Linked DNA regions of Rattus norvegicus. The protein of the gene in region 2 purifies or fractionates together with the protein of the main gene of each other region. This does not show direct contact. Links are inferred from orthologs where the notes say so. Each region holds a gene or a part of one and is shown on either strand. Other genes may lie near its edges. The genes, in order: Msl3, Kat8, Phf20l1, Wdr5, Kansl1 and Phf20.

Region 1 (3,500 bases), on a different chromosome or scaffold from region 2:
CATGTGATTTTTACCTAAATAAATAATGTCAAGAAAAATGTACCAGGGGCTGGAGTGGGAGTCAGGGAAATATTTCATCTTTCAAATTTGTTTTTAACAAGTGTTTTATGCCTTAATTAAACCTCATTCTATCACCTCATCCATTGTGTATATACATGAAACATTATTCCATTACTATAAAATATCTCAAACTGACTAATCTAAAGTGCCAAGTAGACTGGTAGTTTCCAAGGGAGGTGGGGAAGGGCGGATGAAGGTAGGAAAGCTTTCTTTCATTCTGTGATGAGACTATATGAACTGATTGTGAAGACAGCTGTACAGTTCTAACTATACTAAAAATCACTTCAAATAGGGAATTTTCTAGCATACTCCGTCGAAACCAGCAATCTCATTTGAACATTTTATTCAAACGGAATTCTTCAAGGAAAGTTTTGAAAACAGGAATGGAAATGTAGCAATCTATTAGCACAATTCATCTTGAATGAGTATAGAAAACATGGGATTCCTATAACTACACCAGCTCACAAAAGTAGCAAAGAGGAAGGATAACAAATCAACCTTAAACACAGAGCCCAGTCTGGCCTCCCTAGTTCTCACTGAACCACCCAAGCCAGTAGCTTTCTGTGGATGTTTTCCTTTTCAAAGGAAGTAGCTTTATAGCAACCTGTGTGAGATCTGGAGAATCGCACACTTTATACATACTTGAGAGGCTAACAACAAACGAAAAAAACACCTTTCCCTGGCCTGGGGCTCTTAGGACAAACTCACTCTTTTCCAAGTGCAGAAACAGCTTCGGCATGCTGGTGGATGTGTCCTGTTGCCTGCGCTTCGGCTGAGGTGACGAGCTGCTTTCAGACAGCCTGTCACAGTTGGTGCTGTGCCGCGTGGACCTCCTGAGAGACTGCAGTGCCTCTGGCTCTGCTTTGCGCCTCTTGGGGGTGGCTGGTTCACCAGTAGGTGGCTGACTCTCTGTAGACTGTGGTGTGGATGGATTCAACAAAGGTGGGCTAGGAGACAGCTCCTCCTGACTCCTGGGCAGGAAAGAAAGTGTCACTGGCAGCCTCTAAAGATCTGAGGGCTTCTGCAAAGCCACCTAAAGTCAGGTCCACCAATCAACTTGGAAGGGAGGAGGTGACTCACGGGTATCTCCAAATATATGCAAACACACATTTTCTTAAGCAGTCGATAAATATATGAGGTTACCATATCTTTGCAAAGCATGCTACTTTCAGACAGAGACTGAAATATCCTCTTCTATATGTTTCGGAACAAGGTCTCTAAGAGGAAAGGCAGAATTTGGCCCCATCCCAGAAAGCAGTTGCTAATGTTTGCTGTCTATAGTGCCAGCCTGGTGATGGCCTGTTACAACTGAAGGCAGATATGCTGTTCCCTAGTGGATAGAGACCAGACACACTGCTAAGTGTTCAATGCCACACTGGACAGGCTCCCAGGACAGAGAAACTCTCTGGTCTAGGGAAAAAGACAACCACACGATGTCTTCAAAATGTAAAACCTGCCAGGATTTGAGAATGGCACAAGTATGTCTAAGTCTATGCCAGACTCTGGGAATCAGCAAGTATGAAGCAAGCCATTCATGGGGACTTTGACACAAGTGCCCAGTGAGTCTTGCTGACCTCTTACCTGGGGCGAAAGTGACACGGAGAAGGGAGGAGAGAGAGAAGCTGTCAAAGAGATGGTAAAGAGGCAGAGAACCATGAAAAGGAGAGGAAGAAGGAAGGCAGCTAATGCAGGGCACAGACAGTTATTTGTGACAAAGGAGGTAGAGTCTAGTGAAAGAGCAGTAGATACGAGCAGATGCTGGTTTAACATAGAGGGATGCTGCTATTAATGCTGGAAAACTTGGTCCTCTGGCCATGATATGACCACTGACATCTTGGATTGGGAGCAGCTGTGATGACCCACATAAGATCCTCATAACCACTAACATTGCCTGTGAAAAGTGGCAGGGCTCCTAAGACACATGAGAGCCACACCCCCTTATGAGTACACTTAAATCGTTAATGCCTGCCAGCTCTTCTTCAGCAGTGTGGCTACCTGTAAGTAGCGCATGTTCCTGTAACTAGCCCAGTTACACTCATTCCCTCACCAAGGGAGACTTGATGCACACCATTCCGGAACAGAAGAGAGAGGACATGGCCGAATGCCTTAGTAAAATTAAGGGAAAAGACTTTAGGTGAGCATGGATCCATCCTTGCAGCCCCTGCCAGAACAGAGAACAAAGCATGCATAGGCACAGGAGGAAGCAAGGCAGTAATAAAAGCTAAGTAGGGAACTAACCTATACTGAGAGCCAAAGGTTACTGACCCCTTGTTTATGACATCATGAATTGCTACCCCACCAGGGAGATAGCCAGCCGTTCATTGCATACTATGGATATAAAGGGGAGAGGCTCAGAGGAAGCTGACCCGGATCACATAACATTAAGCAATGGATGTCAGCTGTACTTCCACTTTCTACCCTTCTGGCCCATGTTGCCTGGTAACTCTTTACTGTCTTCTGAAAGGTGGGACAGCTGCTCGGAATCCATTGATAACATTGTATTGACTTAGGAATCTTCTGCCCACCTACCCTTCTCTTGCTAAGTAGTCATGGCTAGACTAGAACTCTCTCAGGAGACCACCTGGCCTCAAATTCACAGCAGTCCTCCTTCCTCAGCCTCTTTGATGCTAGAATGGCACGTGTCATCATGCCTGGCTACACTGGAATGCTTACTTGGGGGAAAACCTTTCACAACCATGAGAATGTGAATGATGATCTAGCCAATGAGGGCAGGAGACGTGGGGGTGTTGGGGGAGGCACCAGTAAGGACAACCTACAATGTTTCCTTTCCTTTAGACATTCAGGCCACCATGTCAGCAGATCAAACACTTCCACAAAGAAGCGAGTCGGCTCAGTGTTAACTTACCTATTAGTTGTCGTGGTACTTTCCTTAATAGGAAGAAAGAATTTTGACGATGTCACCCTTTTATATTGAGTTTGTTCATATGGATAAAGCAAAACCAATGGGAGAGTATAATCAAAAGTTATTCGTAATCCATCCACCATCTCCTTACAAAGGTCAACACTAGGAAGATTGAGAAAGAAATGATTAGAGACTAGAGACCAGGTAAAGTCATAAAAATTTTCAAACTTCATGAGAAAGGTATATATTTTAAAGAGAGCGGACTTATCTTTATTCTTATTTTATTATTTTATTCTAGAGATAGGGTCTTACTATATAGCTCTGGCTGGTATAGACCTCTCTATGCAGACTAGGGTGAAGCCAAACTCACAGAGATTCATCTGCCTCTGCTTCCTTGAGTGCTGGGATTAAAGGTGGGTGCTATCCAGCTGAGGGCAGACTTTTAAAACATTAGATAACAACTTATATATAAAAAGAATAAACATAATATATCAATGAGAATAATAAAGAAATAGGGGAATATAGACCATAATATAGACAGCAGACAGTATGCTAATACCTTAAATGTATCCATATC
Region 2 (4,207 bases):
CCCATGTTAACTTCTCTGAGCCTACTTCCTCATAAACAAAAAGAAGTAATTGTCCCTGTGGTGCTAAAACGTCAAGGAGGATTTGATGAGATCTTAGAATACTCAGCATTGTGCTGGATAAGAAAGTAAATGATGTGATTTGGTTTCTTTTCCTTCCCTTTGGACTTCAAGTTTGAGGTCCAGTCTTAGCTGTACCATTTCTTATTGTGAGAGAGCAACCCTCTTCTCTCTATAAGCTGGGTTTTGTATATATGAAGAATAAACAGGGACAAACACCCTAGTACTCTACCAGATTTTACGTGGGAGTTGCTATGGCTTTGTTGCTACAGGGACCCGAGAGAACTCCTGGGCCCTGGAGAAGGGAAGGGGCCAGGACCTTCTGTACATGGTTGATCTCATCATGCTTTCGTTTTTGGTTTCGAGTGATCTTGCGCTCAGGCTGCTCCGCCAGCTCACTCAGGTACTTCTCAGAATTCTTCTGCACGGCATCCTTCACTGTCTTAGTCAGAGCAAGTCGGTTCTTGTCCACCCATTCGTCCAGTCGCCTGTTAACTGTTAAGACAGACCATGAGGGACTGACGTGCTACCTTCCTCCTTCCACCCAGGTCCCATGGCCCCAAGCACTCACAGCCCACATAATGAACATAGAATTCTTCTCGGCCCTCTTGGTCATTCACTCGAGACTGGATCACTTCTGCTGAATCTGTCAAGAAAAAGAGGGGAGAGGGATTTGAGGGGCAATTTCCAGAACAATCTGTCCACATCTGCCATTTAACCTGTACAGTGAGCCAGGTTAGGACTTTTTCTTGGGGGGTGACGGTGGTGTTTACAGAGGACCAGAGATTTGAAAACTGAGAGAACCTGGTTGTTAGATGTGTTTAAGGCTACCTCCAAAGTCAGTGCTCATTTTATATGGTCATTCAGTTCTTTGGGGGACAAGAGAGCTGGCTGGGGATTAAACGATTTAAGCTTATATATAATTCTTCCTTCACATTCCCTAAATGACTGTAACCCTGTCATTTGACTTTCTGAACCTTAGTTCCTTCATCTGGAAAGTAAGAATAGTATCTACCTAAAAGGGTAAGGTAGTTTACAGTGTTCAGCATAGTGACAGATGTGGAGCAGAGCTGTCTGGAAAACAATGATTGTCCAGCGCTCTGCTATGTACTGCTGGACACAGAAAGCACACACAGTAATGAATCACAAGAGATCTTGCTCTCTAGCGTTTCCCCACGGACAGAGAAAGGCAGATAATGTTAACAGTATGGCTGAGGTATGAGAAAAAAAAAAGTGCCAGAACATACGAGCAATTAACTTTGTCTGAAGGGGTCAAGAATGGGATCACCACAGGAGATAAAGTTAAGAAATGAGTAAGAGCTAGCCAGGAAAACCTGAGAAAGGTAGTGACAGCAAGCACAAGTGATAAAAGGCACAGAAAGGCAGTCTTTGGAGAGCAGAGCAAGGCCTGGTCTGGCAAAAGCCCTTGCTAGAAGGGCCTAGAAACTGGAAAGGTCTGAGGCATGAATCAAAGTTTAAGGAGTTTAATTATGTTTTTGAGACAAGGTCTCTCTACGTAGTCCTGACTCTTCTGAAACTTGCTATACAGACCAGGATGGCCTCCAACGGAGCCTTTCCAGGGCTGGGATTAAAGGTGTATGCTACCATGACTAACATTTATTCTATCTTTTAAATCACATGCATTTATCTTACTAGGAAGTAGGGGATACTCTTATATGAATGTCCGAGAACAACCAGTAAGAATCATTGCCTCGGGCTGGAGAGATGGCTCAGTGGTTAAGAGCATCAACTGTTCTCCTGAGGTCCTGAGTTCAAATCCCAGCAACCATATGGTGGCTCACAACCATCTGTAATGAGATCTGATGCCCTCTTCTGGTGTGTCTGAAGACAGCTACAGTGTACTCATATATAATAAATAAAACTTAAAAAAAAAAAGAATCATTGTCAAATCATCAGACTTGGTGACAAATACCTTTACCTCCTGAGCCATCTGAGCTTGGAGTTTATTTACTTTTTTTTCTGGTTCTTTTTTTCGGAGCTGGGGACCGAACCCAGGGCCTTGCGCTTCCCAGGCAAGTGCTCTACCACTGAGCTAAATCCCCAACCCCTGGAGTTTATTTTGAAGACAATAGCTTGTGGTTTATTTTGAAGAGGGAAAGAAGAGGAGCATACGTAAAAGGGACACGTGTTTTTATGAACCGGGCTGTGCTCTTTGCTGGCGATGCAGTGGACAAGAGAAATGTAAAGATAAACACCACCAACAAAACACCAACGAAGAAACAAACATGGCATAAGACATGAAGCCTGAAATCGGGCAAGAATGAGTGTTCATACGCTAATGCTGTGTTCACCTTTTTGATGGCTTTACAGGAGACAAGCATAATCTCTGACTCCAGCCTCCCGTTACAGAGCAGGTTCCTCAGCACCCGGAATTCCATATTCTTACCTGAATCACCACCCTCGTCCCAAGACTCCCAACCCCCCCAACTCCGCCCCATGGAGCACCCATTCCTAGGCCCTGCCCTATCCCTAAACCCCGCCTCTAGGCCCTGGACCCCGCCCTCACGCCAGGTGCTGTCGGGCCGCCGGCACAGGTACGTTTCTCCGATCTCCACGGTGACTTCTGGTTCGCCACGCGCCGGAGTCGGCGGAGAGACCCGGCCCGGGGATCGGGCAGGCCCCTCGACCGATGTATTTTCCCCCGGACCGGGCTCTCCCTCCCCTACAATTCCTGAAGTTGTTGCAGCAACAGCGGCTGTTGCTCCCTGTGCCGCCATTGCAGTGCCGGAAGTGATTCTGGCGATCAGGCAGAGAGACGTTTTTAGTTCCGGATCAGTGGGGGCGGGCATAGTTTGAGTGTTGGAGGTGGGGAGGTTGTGACGTGGCAAGGTTTTGTTTAGTAGTGCGTACTCGGTGGGGCTGTTGTTGCTAGAAATTGGCCCAATCTGATTTCTTTTTCTTTTTGAAGACATGGTCTAATTATATAGTCTTAACTGACTTGGAACTCGCTATGTAGACCATACTGGCCTCGAGATCCACCGACCTCTGCCTTTTGAGTCCTCAAAAGTGCACCGCCTCGTCATGTCTCAATCCGCTTTTTGTAGTTTGTTGTGACGTAGTCCAGACTGCCTACAAACTTGCTGACCTAGCTTCTCCCGCTTTAGGTTCCCAAATGCTGGGATTAAAGGCGAGCACTACCATGTATTGCCTTTTCCTTTTTTTTTTTTTTTTTTTTTTTGGGAAAGGCTCTCTTCAATGGATACCCTGAAATTCATTGAATTTGTGGCAGTTTTCTGGGAATTACAGTTGTACTCAAGTACAAGTATCAAGTTTTATGGGATGCTTGGAGCCAAAACCCAGAGATTCATACATACATGCTACCTATTCTGCGTCTCTCATTTAGGGTGAGAACAAAAACCAGTTGAGACAGGGAAAGAACAGGTGTGCCAAATAAACTACCTTCAAAATAAACTTTTTTCTCAAGAATTTCATGTAGCCCCTGAAGAACTCAAACCCGAGTGTGGCCAGGGAGAACCTTGAGTGCTCATCTAACCTCCACCTTCCAAATGTTGAGGTTAGGATGTCACCATACCATGTTCACACTGCTATGGATTGCACCCGTAGCTTCATTAAGCTAGGGAAACACTACCGCTGAACATCTCCAGCCAGGGAGGGATTGAACATGGATCTTGGCAGTGCCTGGAGAATCTTTAGTGACCCTTCTCTTGAGTACAGTAGACCAATTTCCTGAGATTCGGTAAAGGTTAGACAATATATACACATGGTTAAGCCATAGATTTATATAAACTATATAACATCCAAGGTAAACTTACTGGTAGATTAATTAGAGTGACACACTCCAATTTGTTGGGGGTTTTTTGTTTGTTTTGTTTGTTTTTTGTTTTTCCGGAGCTGAGGAGCGAACCCAGGGCCTTGTGCTTGCTAGGCAAGCGCTCTACCACTGAGCTAAATCCCCAACCCCCCCCCCCCCCAATTTGCTGTTTAACTTCACCTTTCTACCAACCCCGCCACCACCACCAATAATCAGGTAAATTATTGTACTGGGGCACTAACACCATTAGAAGCCTGCCCAGTGCATATTACTTTTAGGAACTGCATCACAGGCAAACTAATCGATGAAAAGAATAAGCATTTGCTGGAAGAACTTTATACTCGTATTGAAAAATAG
Region 3 (3,500 bases), on a different chromosome or scaffold from region 2:
AAATGCTGCTAACATAGTCCTTATAAATAATGCTTTGCAAAGAAATATTAAAATAGAGATGAAATTTATTTTGATAATCAGTATAAATACCGACCAAATGCATGTATACTCATACTCATTTGCACTGGTATAAAAGGAAGAACAAAAACAAAAACAAAACATACACATCAACATAGGAAACAGAGAGAACTTCACAAAGTAACTTCAAAATAGGGAAGAACAGTTAGGTAACAATAGTAAGAAAGCCAGATATGATGGTACATGTCTACAACCTCAGTACTCTAAAAAAGAAAGCCAAGACTTCCAAGCCAGCCTGATGTACATTACTCATATTCCATACTCTGTGGGTTATGGACATAGTGAGCTTCTTTTTCAAGGAAACAAAACAGAACTACTGCAACAAAAGAAATACACTAAGAGAAAAAAGCATGCAGACCACATAGAAGTCCAATAAATGTGTAACAAATGGATACAGTTTTAAATAAAAGAACAGAACATGAATTACACCACTTTCCTTAAAAAGGAAAATTCACAAGTCATAGAAATGAATCAAAAACTTACTTTATCCCATTCAAATACTGTGTGTGTACTCTACATGATTATGTTACACCAGTTTTCAGTAGCTAACTTTGAAACATGCATTTTCTTCTTTAAAGCAATTATCTAGACTGCACTAACTGAGGTAGGAAGTCCTAGCCTAGTCGTGGGCAGCACCATGGGCTTGGTCCTGGATTCAAGAAGAAGGAGAAATGGGCAGACTAGAACAGGAACAGCCATTCATCTGTTTGCTGACTTGCTACCTCCATTCTGACTTTCCTGTGATGGTAGACTGCATCCCCAGAACTCTAAGCCAAAATGTATCTTTTCTCCTTAAAAGCAAAACCAAAAACATTCAAAAATTGCTGAGCACTGTGCTCTTAATGTTAAGCTGACAATGGTTGTGCCTTCTCTTTCCCCTTGTATAATTCAACATCATAAACAAAACCAAGAATTACCTCCATAGCCATAGTTATAAATCTGCGAGGAATTTAAAGGGGAAAAAAAAAACAGCCAAAAACAAAAACAAAACAGAACCAAGGTAACACCCTGATTTAGAAGATAAATCAAAGGATTTTAGTATACAAATACTGCTTTGATGTTTAGAATATACAATACGAGAGGGAGGGAGGGAGGGAGGGAGGGAGGGAGGGAGGGAGGGAGGGAGAGAGAGAGAGAGACTCTGTGTGTGTGTGTGTCTGTGTGTGTGTGATTTGCCTGCATATATGTATTACACCCATAAGAAGTCAGAAGAGGGCACTGCATCCCCTGGGAGTAGGGTTACAGATGGTTGTGAACTGCCATGTGGTTGCTGGGAATCAAATAAGCCATTTCTTCAGCCCTGCATAACATTATTTAAGACATACTAGTCTGTATTTCAGCCTTATTATAATCAATTCAAACATGTACTTTTCAGAAACATATAAATATCTTCATGTACACATTGAAAAATCATTTTCCCAATAGGTATTATGTTAATATGACATCAAGATCATTCTCATATATCCAGTGCAGTAAGGATTTCCAGGCTGTTAAAAAGTGAGACCTTTACCAGGAAAACTTCCTGAAAAGGTCAATGATAATTCAGGAATCTTGTGCAAAAAAGATAAACTGAATTACTCTAAGATCAGGTTTAGATGAATATCCAAACACAATGGATCAGATCTGAGAAATAAAAAGCAATCTCTCAAAACCCACAGGTCTTCAGTTGAGGGCATTTTTTATTTCTAAATAAGAAAGAACTATTATATATAAACCTATTTAAATCTTTACAGGTAAAATAAAAGTATTGGTCATTACATGTACAAATGCTGACACTGCTACTTTGAAAGAAAGAACAAGTTAAAGGCACAAGTTAAGCTATTGCTGTCATTGTTTCAGTGGGTACCACAGACAGAACACAGTACGCTATATTTTGGTTTCATCCAAGAAGCCAATGCCACTTTCTTTGGGGAAGATGTTGTTAAACATAATTATTGTTAATGCATTTGGCTACTTTACATTTGTCTCCTAATCTAACTTGACTTAAATCTCTCACTAGCCAATTCCAAATTAGCAATTTACTAGAAAGAAGATAATTAAAATATACTACGTACATGTATTTTTATGAAATTATAATATTATACAGTATCTTCTTGCTTCAAGAATAAGAATTTCTGGAATTGTATTTAACTCTAATAATTTCTAGTAGCAAAGACAAGTATATATTTCATATAATTTATTTCCTGTTTTGAGACAGGGTCTTGCTACATAGCTCTAATTGGCCTAAAACTTGCTAGGTTGACCAAGCTGGGTAGCTAGAATTTGCTAGCTCCAGATGCAGCAATACAACATTTTACACACACATTAAAAAAGCAAACAAAAGAACCCAGGCATGAGGGTGCATATCTTTAATCACATAACTTGATGTGTGTGTGTGTATGTGTGTGTCTGTGTGTGTGTGTGTGTGTGTACACTGAGGAGGAGGAGGGCTCACCCTTTTCAGAGGAGAAGGGGAGGGAGGAGTGGGGGAGGATTTGTGTAAGGGAGTACCAGTAGTAGAGGGGGGCTCATATTGGGATATAAAATAAATAAATTTTTCTTAAAAAGCGAAAGAAAGAGGGAGAAAAAAGAATGAAGAAAAAAATGACAAGAAATATGTCTAGGGAATGCTCACAATGATCACACAACAAATTTTTAAAACAAAGAAATTCCATCCAAACACAAAAGGTACCTAAAAGTTCTTACATGAGGGGTTTTATATGAATTTGAGGGAAGTTAAATATCAAAATGTCTATGCAAGACTTAACCAAGAGCACCCTTACCTGTAGCTGCTGCAGCTCCTTTTACATCACTCACTACTTTGGAGGTGGGATTTGCAAACAATGGTGTCTCCTCCTTTTCTTCCCTGGGACATTCACCACCAGGGTAAGAGGAATCTGGGGCTTGACTTCCTGTGACTTCTGAACCACAACTTAAATCAAGAGGGAGACAGGGTCCCAGCTTCTGGAGCGGCACATATGCAATAGCAGGCACTACATAAAATTAAAAAGAAAAGAAAACCATAATATTAACACAGAGAAACTGGTTCAGTTCATATCAATGCAGATCACTGGTGTTTATACAGTGCCTGACAAAAAGAAGGCACCAGATAGGTTATCTGTAGCATATACAAAGTGCTTGTAAGCCAAGAGACATTAAAGAGAACTTAATATTTGAAAAATTGATGTTAGTTATTTGGTTCTATAGGAAATCAATATACATTACCTTCTGGTACTGAAGACTCTTGCTGATTCTGAGAACTGATGGAGAATACTTTCCCATCAGTTGCTGAAGAGGAAGAAGAAAGCTTTTCTAGAGAATCATCAGGCATGGGTAAGGTGGCTAAGCGCTGAGATCTTCTTCTTCTCTCACTATGCTTGCAAGGTCTAGGGGGATTCACAGGCTGTGGAGAACCTAGAAAAAGATCTTCAATGTTCACGAAG
Region 4 (4,235 bases), on a different chromosome or scaffold from region 2:
GTGGTACACACCTTTAATTCCAGTACTCGGGAGGCAGAGGAAGGTGTATCTACAAGTTTGAAGCTAGCCTAGTCTAAAGAGTGAACTCCACTCTCTTGCTCTCCCTCCTTACTCCTCTCTCCCCATTCCCCTCACCCTTCTCTCTCCATGTGCTCATGGCTGGCATCCCTCAACTCTATCTCTGCCTTTCTCGGTCTCTGCTACCCTCTCAACTCCCCTCCCATGCCCTGAATAAACTCTACAATATACTGTTGACTGTTGTGTGGCTGGTCCCTCAGGGGAAGGAATGTCTCCGCATGAGCCTGCAGAGGCACCCCCTCCCCCCACACCATTCCCTCACACCATATCTCTCCTCCACCAAACATATTCCTTCTCTCCTTATTTTTATAAAACACACGCACAAAAAAGGCATACTCTGTGCTGTGTTTTATAAAAAGATAAGAGAGGAAGGAATATTAAAAAAAAAAAAAAAAAAAGCGTGAACTCCAGGACAGTCAGGGCTACACAGAAGAAATCCTGTCTCAAAACAACAAAAAGGTTCTTGGGACTGAGCTGTTCATAGAAGAGTGTTCACCTAACATGCATAAGACCACCTCACCCCCCCACAAAAAAACAGTGACTCTAGGGCTGGAGGGATGGCTCAGTAGTTAAGAGCACTGACTGCTCTTCCAAAGGTCCTGAGTACAAGTCCCAGCAACCACATCTATAATGAGATCTGATGCCCTCTTCTGTGTGTCTGAAGACAGCTACACTGTACTCAAACAAAATAAAAATAAAAATATTCCCAAGAAAATGGGTAAAAAGGAGAACATGACCGCAGCACTGAACCCTACAACAAATAAACTGCTCCAAGCTGGGGATAACTGTACCGAGGCTGCAGCTTCAGGTGCTCTGTGTGATGGATGGTCTACTCTTGAACCTTCTGTGAGCCTAAGACTTAAGCTTCAAGAAGGCTTCCCACTGCAGTATACAGATGTGTACCGGAATGTGAGCTCTGCTTCAAAGATTCCTTGATACAGTTTTTTTTTTTTTTCTATTCTTTCGGAGCTGGGGACCGAACCCAGGGCCTTTTGATACAGTTTTTAAAAGGCTTTCTAACAGAAACAACAGACCAAGTGACAAGAGTAGACCTTCTGTGCAGAAGTTTGGAAACTCAGGCAAATTCTAAAATACACCCAAAGAATTTGAGGAAACACAGGAGTCTTGTCTGTACCTGGTGGCCTCCACCTCGGCTCCCTTTGACCTCACAGGCTGCAAACTGCCTTCTACAATGCTAAGAGCGTACAGAGCTCAAGGACTCTTGCACAGAGTACTATAAAAAGAGCTACAAGAAAGAGTACAGCAAAGTAGACACCGCCCCCATATGAAACCTCCCAGGAGGAGTAGCAGGAAGAACATCAGAGAAACTGCACCAGAAGAAGCTGCAGAGCTGAGGGAAAGCAGTTACTCCCTTCAGCAGTGCAACTGCAACAACTTCCTACAGTTTACAGGCCATCCCGTGACTGGGAAGTGAGTTAGTGCTCCTCCAATGGAGCGCTCCTAAGACATGCAAACATCACTGGCCATCATGATCCCTCAGCCATCAGTGTAAGGAGAAATCACGATGCACAGCCTAGCTTTGAGACTAAACCTGACACCTCACACAGACCCCACGGGAGACTAAGAGGAGACAACACCAAAAGAGACCAAAGCCTCAGTCTTCAATCCTAGGAAGGAACAGTAACACCCACCACACAGGGCACAGGTGTAGCCTGCTCCACCAAGGTCAAATTCTGCTGTAGCTCAAGCCCAGGTGCAAGGATCCAACTAGGGGTAGGTCCCCTGCCTGGGTCCCTCCACAAAGCAAAGCTCTTGTGCCCAGGAAATACCAGCTGCTTGGTGTTTTTAGCTTTTTGGAGACAGGGTCTTGCTATGCACCAGTATTCAAAATCCTGCCTCAATAGCCGCAGTATGGTTGGTGTAACAGGCATAAATCAACTCCCAGGCCTGACCTGAAGCTGCTTAACGCAACTATATGGCCATGAGTTCCCAGAGCCAACATGTTTGTGGATCATACAGGTAGCAAGAGGAGCTGAGAAGATGTTAAGTAATGAGATAGAAAGTCCTACCACATCTCCCTGCTTCAGGGAAATAAAAGGCCAAGGGAGCAGGGCAGATCTCTGGGGTAGGAAGTCTCGAGGAACTAAGCAGTGTCTTTTAGCATATAAAGAGATTCACCTAGCCTCGGGTGAATGGCCTTGCAAAACAAGCACGAGGATACCCAACCCTGCCCATCCCATCCCACCCTTTATAAACTGATTCTTTCAGGAAGCCAAATATTAACATATGAAGACACTGGGTGTGCACCACACTTTGATCCCAGCTCTAATAAGTTCACAGCCCCAAACAACCAACCAAAAAAAAAAAAAAAAAAAAAAAAAAAAGGAAAAAGAAAAGAAAGAACATTAGCATTAGCCAATCTACCTCGCAGCATTCAGGAGGTTCGGGAATTCATAGTTAAATGTGAAGCCAGCACCAACCTGAAACCGTCTCAAAGGAAACCAATTTCCAATTCCACTGGGTAGAGTCCAAGACAGAGAGCACTCAGGTGTTCTGTTTTAAGGTCACCGGAAAGCAGGACTTGAAGAGGACAGCTCTGGGAGGGAGGTGTGTTAAGCAGGATCCTCAGCAGGTGGTTTGGAGCTGGCCTCCACGGCCCACAAAGGAGGCAGTTAACTGGCAACCGCAGCTTTACACTACAGGGAACGTGATCATGGAAGGGCAGCAGCCATCAGTCTCCCTCCAATCAAATGCAGATTCCTTGTTTCCGCCTTAGACACTGAGTACACAAGTATGGGAAGACAGAATGGTCCAGTCACTCAGGTGAGTGCAGTAGGTAACCCAACAAAGAGCTCCAACCCATCCTCTCTGGACTACTGGATACCCCTAGGTCCTAGTACCATTGGCTTCACACCACTGTACTCTCAACTGCCTGGCTGACCCAGACAGTGCTCAAAACCCACTTGACCAGTCAGCCCTCGTCAGGTAGAAACTTGCACTAGGACACGGGTGAAGGTTGTGGTGGCAGCACGAAAGCGCCAAGTGGCCAAGGAAACCTGAGAGATGCTAGCTGGGTGTCCCCACTCCCAGGGACGCCAGCCTGAGGTGTGAGCCACGAGGAGCTCGCAGGGCTACGGGTCTAGGGGCGCAGCAGGGGCCGCAGTGGAAGTAGCGAGCCGTGGCGGCCACAAGGGGCGGCGGGGTCGGGGCGCGGCCACAAATGCGGCGCCGGGCCCGGCCGGAGGCCCACGGAACACGTGCGGCGCTGTGGATCCCGAAGCCCGTGGGCCCTCGTGGTCGCCGCCCCCCTCGCGCCCGCAGGACCGGGTCACTCCCTTACCTGCCGGGGCCGGGGCGGCGGGGCCGGGCGCTCTGGCGTCGCCTCGGCTGGCCCTGCGCGCGAGAGCAGACGATCTGGTGGACCAGTCGGCCGCGGCGCGGGAGGCGGGAGGGATTGCGCGTGCGCGAGGGGGCGGGGCAACGGGCGGCGACGAGGGTCAGAAAAATTAGAGGAGACGGAGCGCCTTAAAGGGCCCACCTATGATTCTTGCTTCCTATTTGACCGCCACTAATTTTCAGTGCCTGCAGACCGGAACTCTCTGCAGTTAAAGATGGGTAAAAATGTGCTTATGTGCCTTTCCTGTTAAATTCCAGGCTATGTCGCCAAGCTAATAGCAGCTTGCCTGTCGTGGCCTGTGCCTGCCCTGGACTCTAGGAAACCCTCTTGGTGCCACTGGTGGACGTCCACGAGGTCCGGAAGTCCGGAGCGCCTGCGGTCTCCCCTGCCTACCGCAGGGCGGGGGCTTCCTGCCACTGCAAACCACAGCTCAAATTGAACATACTTGCCTCTCTTCTAAGCTGGGCCACAAAGAGACTCTGCTGTGCACCCCCACACTCAGAAAAAGATCTTAGGAACTATCGCCGCAGGAAAAGCTCCCCTGCGTGTCCAGGGAAGGCAGGAAAGAAGGGAGCTTGCATGCTAACAAGAGAGGAGCTACCTGACTTAGAAGACAAACAAAACTGTGGACAGGAAAGGCAAGTGTCACTAACACAGGGGCTCCGAGTCCTCCCCAGCCTATGCATGCATCTGGAACCAGGCAGTTTGTTCTTTAGTGTAGGTGTCCATCGCTCACATTCCAGGCAGCCGCAGCATCCACTACAATTGAGCTTCCATATGGCTCTGAAGCTCCATTTTA
Region 5 (4,169 bases), on a different chromosome or scaffold from region 2:
CTAAAGATTTCCCAAAAGTCCAAATGTTTAGGTTATTCAGACTGCACTAGGGCTCTCCCACTGCACTATGCTGGAATCCCAGCTACACCAGTATCTAACTATCAGGGAAGGAGAGGCTGACAGACTTCACTGTTGATCTTGCCTTGGTCCTTTCTCTCATCTCCTCACTTTTCACAGCTCAGTCCTACTAGAGAGTTCTTTTGCCATCTCTGAACAGAAAGAGCCACAAGAGACTTAAAGAACTATCTTTTTATCAAATGGTCACATGTCCACATTGCCCAAATGAGGCGTATCTTGCACACCCTGGAAAAGGAAAGGGCACAATGGCCACCTGTTGAAAAAAAAGTGTAAGGACTCACACATTGGCCTGAGGAGCAGCAGGGCATTTGAAGAATAAACACATATACTGCGTGAAATGTCAGAGCAATCAAATGGTTAATGACACATCTTTTGTAACACATGAATCAGCTACTGATTTGCAAAAGTGGGACACGCCCAAGTTCATATGACTCTGAAGTACCAGTTTGAAAATGGACCTCAAGGTCTGAATTGGCAACACATCTACCAGGTGGAACATAATTTCACAAGATGTAAGCTATAATAAGTAAAAACTGGAACCCATCCTTATAGAGTTAATTTAAGAACTTCACTAATGTCTGAACAGCAGCAATCAAGAACAGCAATAACAAATCCTAAGAACCTAATGGTTCTAAGGATGGGTATCCTGAAGAGCCACAGGTTCAAGAACATTCTAGGTAGATCTAGACCTAGTAGCAAACACCTATAATCCTAGCATTTGGAACGTAGAGGCAGCAAATACATGAAGTTAAGGCCATGCTCAGCAAACTACAAAGTTCCAGAGCAGCCTGGACTCTGAAACCCTGACTCAAAACACACGGGAACAAGTATTCTTGATTCTAAAATACATATATGAAATAACAAAATAAAAATAACGAAAAGCAAATATATCTTACCTTAAGAGGCATCCAAATAGCATACATAGTGTCAGGAATAGTTCAGACAACTCAGAAATAAGCAGGAAGAGACTAAGTAATTCCCCAGTTACCACGGATAAGGAATTAAGGAGATCTGAAAAGGAAGAATTTTTTTCACTTAGATGGAAAAAATAGCATATGTAAATAGCTTAATCTATCTGGGAAAGGCATTCAATACTAGTTGCTTAAAAAGTGTACAAGTGCTGGGCGTGGTGCACTTTAGTCCTAGCACTCAGAGGAGACTGAAGCAGGCTGTTATCTACCAGTTCAACACCAGCCTGGTAGACACAGTGAGTTCTGGGCCAGGTGAGAGCTACTTATTGAGATGGTCTCAAAACCCCCCAAGAAGGAAAAAGATACAATATAAAATTCCCTTTGTAAAGGGCATATGTTTATCTCTGTGTGTGTGTGTAGAAATATATTTTATATCAAAGAACAACGTAAATCTTAAGTAACTGAAAATTACTTATCAAAGGTTCAGAAAACTAAAATCCTAAAGGAAAAGTTATTACTACCAGAGTATTTCATAAACACTACTGAAAATAATTTATTAACTATCTAAAAAGATGTACAACTATTTTATTTGGTAAACAAACAAAAAAAAAAAAACTTCTGACAATTCCAGTTTTTAACTTTTCTTAAAATTGTTTCAGAGCTGAAACTACATTAAAAAAGTAAGTAGCATCTATTCCTCACCGAAGTACAAGCAAAAAAGAAAAGACCATTCTTTTCCAGAGATTTTTAAAAGCAGACCAGAGGAATTAATTTTGAAGATGGAGGGTGTTAAGTTTGCAGGGACTCAGAAGAATGGACTAAATGACTCCTTCTAGGAGCCTATGTCCTAGGCCTGAATGAAAATTCCAGCTTAACCAGTTACTGCTTCACTTAAAATGGAGGCTTGCCCGAGTAGGAACACAAAAATAACACACTCACCTCTTTAAAAATAATTTCTTAAAATCAGAGTCGATGTCCCCGTTTTAAAAATAAAGCTCTGGAGTGGGTTTGCTGTCTCCACGTTTGTCACTTCGGTTAGGGACACTTGGCATCACTTTGCCTAGCGCTCATTGGATTTTGGGGGGTGGGGACGGGAGTTTGACTCTTGACCCGACTCTCAGGCGAGCCTGGGCACCCCCACACACTACCCCGCGACGCGACCCCAGCTCTACAGGACCCCAGCTCTACAGGACCGCGGGGCCGAGATCCCAGCGAGCTCGAGTCCGCGCCCCTCCCCCGCCTCGGACCCTCGTCCGGGAGCCTCTCCCATCCCCCGCGGCCCACGACTCCTCCGGCCCGGTCCCCATTGTTAGGAGGGGGGCGGCCGTGGCTGGGGCTCGCGGCCCGGGGCCCGTGGCTGTTGACCGACTCGCCTCAGGAGGGGGCGGCCCGCGGGATGCCGCTTCCCGTCCTGCCACGGTCCGTCCCACCTCGCTCGGCCTGGCGCCCCCGGCTGTGCTCGGTGCCCCCCTCCCGGGCCCTGTGGCCACTCGTCGCCCGGCACGCCGCGGTCCACGGCCGGAGGCCGAGGCCTTGAGGGTGGGCGCCGGCCGAGGGTCCCCGCGCCCCACACACGCGTCCCCGCGTCCTCAGACCGGCCGCCTTCAGGGCCCTCCGCGGCGCCGGCTCCCGCGACCCCTCAACCTCCCGCCGCCCCGCGACGGCGCCCCCCACGGCGTCCTCCGGCCCAGACACGCCACCCTGCACCACCATCACCCCGACCCGCCGCGCCCCCACCCCCCGGGGCAGCAGTGCCAACGGCAGCTCCCCCGGCCCCAGACCTACCTGCACGGCTCAACCAAGCCTAGAGTGGGGGGCGGGCAAGCTTCCGCCCTCCTCTGTCTCCCATTGGCCCGCCGAGGGCAATTCGCGAGCACCATTGGCTAAGAGTGGACGTCCGTCAGAGCTATGGGGCGGGATGGGGAGGGGGGGAGAGATGCTGGTGCCTTGGCGTCTCTGTCTCTGTATCTCTCTGTCTCTGTCTCGGCCCTAGGAAAGGAGAGGCTTGAGCTGGACGGAGCTGGAGGGCGGCCTGGTGGGAGAAATAAGAATAGGAATCCCTACAGTGCTTCACAGCAGTCCACCACTCAACCCCTGGCCTCAGTCCCTCAGGTCCCCTTCTCTGTCACCCCCAACCCCTGCCCCTCACCTCACCCTTCCAGGTTCTTCATCCAGGAAGCGATGTGATGAGAACCCGGCCCGGAAGGCCATAGGGAGAGATTTTGTATATGTACATAAAATATACACATATATAAATGTTTGTTTTTAAAGTCAACCAGATTTGAGGTCCTGAGGGCCTGGAAAGGCCATACATCTCACAGACCAGGAAGGAATTGAGAGAAAGCTGAGTCAAAAATCACTCTCAGAGGTGTTAACAGTGGTTGCCTCCTGGATGACATGGAGTTCTCAGCAGACCAAGGAAGAGGAATACTTAATCTCTCAGGCACATCCTTTGTAGATACTGATTTTTGTGCCATCCACAAACATTACAGCTAAAATAATATTAATTATCATAGCATGATCCATATGCTTGTGATTATAGCACAAGAAACTCATGCAGAAAATTATTAAGTGCAAAAGCCAGCCTGGGCTACAAAGAGACTATTTCAAAAAAAAAAAAAAAAGAAAGAAAAGAAAAAATATTTTGAATCCAAATATTTTGAAACAAAATGGTTATCTAAGAAAACCAGGACAGCATTCACATGTACTGGGGAGTCTTACCTTTTAGTTTGTTTTAAATACCAGTAATAAGTGTGTTCTGAGGAATTCCAAAACACTGGGGAGACTAAACAATCCACAAATGAGGAGTCAACATACTGAACGATCAACTTTCTCAAATCGGAAAACAAAACAAAACAAAACAAAAAACCAGCTAAAATAATGGCAAAACAGCACGAAGGCAGAGGAGCAAGAATACTAAAACTATGAGAGATCCTTAGGTCTTGAGGCTACACTTAGAGAACTGTTTTTAGGCCATAGTAGACATGTGACAGTAAGAACTAAAAAGAAAATACCCATAAGCCAGAAATCTTAACTTTTTCAGTCTTATTGACACATAAGGATTCTCCCAGAATTTTTTTCATCGTATCAAATGCATTTAGGAAACCTGAGGACACAGACCAGATTCACTGCAGAGGATCATCTGGGCTACAGAGAAGCCCCAAGAACGCTGCTTGTACT
Region 6 (3,500 bases), on a different chromosome or scaffold from region 2:
TAAGGCTCCAAGCCCCTTCCAACAGTACTGCCTGCCCCAGCTAGTCAGGTGACAGGCCCTCCCTTCGCTGGACCCTGCTTCCCATCTGTCAAATAACAGATGACCTGGGTGATTCCTGGGCCCTGCCCATCACAAGCCTCCTTGGAAAGGACAGGAAGCATGAGCTCAGGGACTCGGCAGCACTTCCTGCTCCAAAGGCTCAGGAGACAGCACCCTCCAACCCGATGCATTCACTCGAGTCACTCGTGAGTGCAATGGCAAACACGTGCCCTCGGACATCCCTGCAATGCCACCAACAGAGCCACACACTCATCCTCAGCTCTCAAGGAAGAAACTCTCTCACTACTGAAACTGGAACAAAAGATTGGCAAGGCCCTGAGCAAGAATGACAGGAGAATTCGTGGAGCATTCAACACTGTGGACAGTTTTGATCAGACCTACAAGCTTTGTGCTTCTCGTTAACAACACCATATGTGTTTCCCACTACATTCCAAGACCAGGCCTTCTGCTAGGTAAGCATCTTCACACATATCCCTTACTGCTACGTTCAGAAGGACAGGCCACCACGTGGGCTTGCAACAAAGGTGAGCAGAGTCACCTGGTCATTAGCGAAGATTCTCCGAGAGTACAAGCACGGTGTGTGGAAAGTTGCTGTGCTAAGGAAGAGGTTACATACTGCTCCCAACCCAGCTCCAGAAAGCTCTACCTGGAGGGTCTTGGCAAACGTAGCAGGTGTATTTCTCGGGCACATTTTCTTCCAGTAATCCCATGCAGACCCCGTGCTGCCAGCACTGGCATTCTTCACACTGTGAGAATTAAAGAAGCAACAGAACTTAGAAAGTAGAGCCCACTGACCTGGAGTGTGGGTGAAAGGAAATGGGGGGAGCGCTCCCTTCTGACCTCTACTCAACAAAGCTATGGCTACACAATGACCCAACTAGGCCACCACTGATCACATGGAGGGTGACGCATAACGAACAAATTAAGTTAAGAGTCCTTAGTTCTTCAGTCCCAAGAGCCATTTCAGAAGTGTCCGTATGACTATTGTCTCTGGAACAGAATAGAGCACAATAAAGAGAATCTAGATGGTCAAGTGTGGTGGAATATGTCTATGATCCCAGAACCTGAAAGGCAGAGGCATGAGGATAGGCTCAGCCAGACTCAGTTACACAATGAGACCAGAGCCAGCCTGGAATACTTCAGAACCTGTCTCAAAAACAAAACATGGAGCAAAAATGTAATCAGTTGAATAGTACTGACTTCAGACTGATTGCTGCCATTCCTGCCGCTCAGCCTCATGATCACTTTGTGGGGCTTAATGAAACCTGTTCAAACTCTTAGAATACATTATGTGTTACATGGCACAGTTCCAGGTCTCAGCCCTAGGCCTCAGTTTCCCCAAGTGGAGATGCGATACTGTTCCTGCCCACACCACAGGCTGTCTGTTAGGAATCCATGGGTCATATGCACATCCTCCCACTATGAACTCAGCACAAAGCCTCACACTGAGTTTCTATTATTAACAGATGGTAGCTAAGTCCCTCTGGCCTCCTAGAGCAATCACGCCCTAGTTCTCTGCATTTATTCTTAAAACTTGCTGAAGGTTGCACAGGTGATTAATGGCACATGAGACAGCGTGAACTTAGCCAAGTGCAAGAGTTCCTGCAAAGCCTGCGCTCAACCCCCTCTTTCCTGGTCCTGGGAGACCTGCCAGGGTCAGGAAGCAGAAAGGATCACTACCTTGAAGACACTAACTTTACTTGGGCTTATAAAACATTGTGGCCCCCAAAAATAAGGAAGTTGGTAGCTCTGAAACTAAGCAGGACTCTAAAATTAGTAGACAGAAAATATATGCAGAGAGGAAAGATGAGAGGGAGGGGGCCAGCCCTGCCAGGGAATTAGACTATTACAAAGGCATAAAATAATCACACAGCATTGTTGTGTTCTTCCGCCTCTGCTTCACTGAAAAAGAGAGGATCCAGAAAGAGACCCGAATGTACAGAGAAAGGCAGTAAATCAAGCAACATTTCAAAATGTGAGCACACTGCCAGTAAACTGAAGTCACAGCCCTCACTCCACACCAAAATAAGCATGCATAAGGTGCTTAAAGAACAAAGCGTCTGAAGTTCTAGAAGAAGCCACACAGATCTACACCCAGGAAGCAGAGACAGCATGGTAGCCTGTGCCTGTAACCTCAGCATTTAGGAGACAAAACAGAAAATACAGCATGTTTGAGAAGAAATGGGGCCAAGTGAGACTGGTTAGTTTCATTAGCTTGAATCTAGAATCACGGTGAAGAGTCTCTCATTTAGGGATTGTCTAGATCAGGTTAGTTTATGAGTCTGTTTATTCAGGATTGTTTTGGATAGCGTGAGAGGGAGACCCCCATTATAGGTGGTACCATTCCTGGGCAGGGGATGCTAAACCTTGCCAGAGTAAAGAAGTAAGCTAAGTGTGGCATGCAGGTATGAATTAGTTCCACTCTTCTTCTCGACACTGAGACAGGAGGAGCTGGCTTCATGCCCCTGCCACCACACCATTCTATGTCCATCTAGAACTGTGGGCTACAGTAACTTCTCCCTTAAGTTGCTTTTGTGAGGATATTTTATCATAGCAACAGAAAAGTAACTAAGACAGAGACTCTGCCCTTAAAAAAAAAAAAAAAGGACAAAAGACATAAATGCAACTTCAAATTTAAGTCAACTTCAAATTTTGTTATCATGCATATAAAACAAGGAAAGCAAAAAGCCAAAAAAGCCTGCTCTTCCTAATACATATAGCCTATGCAGAGATGTATGGTAGGTAGGCTGCCAAATCCCTTCATTGGGAACACCTGCTGCCAGCACACATGCATGCTCACATACACACACATACATACACACACACATACATACACACACACCAAATAACAGAGGAAGACAAATTATAAAACCTGACTCCATTTCTTCCCTCAGGACACCAGGGAAATTTATCTCAAAGAGAAGATGAGCCCATAAAGAAGACTGAATTACCACTCTACAGTCTGAGTCCCTGTTGTCCAACTCCTCTCTGTGAGACCACAGGCAAGGCTTTCCCTTTGGCCTCAATGACTTCTCATTCTATAATGGGTTATTTTCAGCAACCTAGAATTCCCAGAAATCTGAACCCAAAAGCAAGCTCAGTCTAATGCTGTGCGAACTGCTCACATGACTCACTCATGTCTTCCTCTAACCTGTGTTCTGGAAACTCTACTTGCCTGAATCATAAAGTCATTTTCCTCCTGCACTCCACAGATGCATCGGACCACCTCAAAGTCATAGCGGTCGTCGCCTTCAAGCTCCTCATCTGGGTTGGTGGTCACATCAACATCTTGACCGTATTCCTCATCACTCCAAAGAAAGCTCTCGGAAGAGGACTCGCTCAAATTATCCTCCTCTGGAAGGAAAGGGAAGCCAACAGTCAGTGCTCTAAACTCACACGTAACATTGTGTTTCATCCCCACTTGTCCAGGGACTTCCATG

The links.
Region 1: the proteins of Kat8 (region 2) and Msl3 purify together in Homo sapiens (affinity purification with mass spectrometry; 4 studies listed by BioGRID and IntAct, with this or other methods). This does not show direct contact. The link is inferred for Rattus norvegicus from reciprocal best matches to the Homo sapiens genes KAT8 and MSL3.
Region 3: the proteins of Kat8 (region 2) and Phf20l1 purify together in Homo sapiens (affinity purification with mass spectrometry; 3 studies listed by BioGRID and IntAct, with this or other methods). This does not show direct contact. The link is inferred for Rattus norvegicus from reciprocal best matches to the Homo sapiens genes KAT8 and PHF20L1.
Region 4: the proteins of Kat8 (region 2) and Wdr5 purify together in Homo sapiens (affinity purification with mass spectrometry; 5 studies listed by BioGRID and IntAct, with this or other methods). This does not show direct contact. The link is inferred for Rattus norvegicus from reciprocal best matches to the Homo sapiens genes KAT8 and WDR5.
Region 5: the proteins of Kat8 (region 2) and Kansl1 purify together in Homo sapiens (affinity purification with western blotting; 4 studies listed by BioGRID and IntAct, with this or other methods). This does not show direct contact. The link is inferred for Rattus norvegicus from reciprocal best matches to the Homo sapiens genes KAT8 and KANSL1.
Region 6: the proteins of Kat8 (region 2) and Phf20 purify together in Homo sapiens (affinity purification with mass spectrometry; 3 studies listed by BioGRID and IntAct, counting the BioPlex papers as one, with this or other methods). This does not show direct contact. The link is inferred for Rattus norvegicus from reciprocal best matches to the Homo sapiens genes KAT8 and PHF20.

What each region holds. Positions count from the first base shown.
Region 1 is NC_086039.1:29,216,964-29,220,463, reverse strand, and holds part of Msl3 (male-specific lethal 3 homolog), read right to left. Parts: intron 3,086-3,500; coding exon 2,927-3,085; intron 2,222-2,926; exon of another isoform or gene 2,108-2,221; intron 1,032-2,107; coding exon 769-1,031; intron 1-768. UniProt on the Homo sapiens protein: Non-catalytic component of the MSL histone acetyltransferase complex, a multiprotein complex that mediates the majority of histone H4 acetylation at 'Lys-16' (H4K16ac), an epigenetic mark that prevents chromatin compaction.
Region 2 is NC_086019.1:191,953,420-191,957,626, reverse strand, and holds the start of Kat8 (histone acetyltransferase KAT8), read right to left. Parts: upstream 2,801-4,207; 5' UTR 2,796-2,800; coding exon 2,585-2,795; intron 2,507-2,584; exon of another isoform or gene 2,370-2,506; intron 704-2,369; coding exon 629-703; intron 553-628; coding exon 377-552; intron 1-376.
Region 3 is NC_086025.1:100,254,139-100,257,638, reverse strand, and holds part of Phf20l1 (PHD finger protein 20-like protein 1), read right to left. Parts: intron 3,472-3,500; coding exon 3,283-3,471; intron 3,051-3,282; coding exon 2,841-3,050; intron 1-2,840.
Region 4 is NC_086021.1:31,234,311-31,238,545, reverse strand, and holds the start of Wdr5 (WD repeat-containing protein 5), read right to left. Parts: upstream 2,801-4,235; 5' UTR 2,520-2,800; intron 1-2,519.
Region 5 is NC_086028.1:89,865,821-89,869,989, forward strand, and holds the start of Kansl1 (KAT8 regulatory NSL complex subunit 1), read right to left. Parts: upstream 2,801-4,169; 5' UTR 2,775-2,800; intron 1,600-2,774; exon of another isoform or gene 1,090-1,599; 5' UTR 975-1,089; intron 1-974. UniProt on the Homo sapiens protein: Non-catalytic component of the NSL histone acetyltransferase complex, a multiprotein complex that mediates histone H4 acetylation at 'Lys-5'- and 'Lys-8' (H4K5ac and H4K8ac) at transcription start sites and promotes transcription initiation.
Region 6 is NC_086021.1:165,260,837-165,264,336, reverse strand, and holds part of Phf20 (PHD finger protein 20), read right to left. Parts: intron 3,415-3,500; coding exon 3,236-3,414; intron 807-3,235; coding exon 707-806; intron 1-706. UniProt on the Homo sapiens protein: Methyllysine-binding protein, component of the MOF histone acetyltransferase protein complex.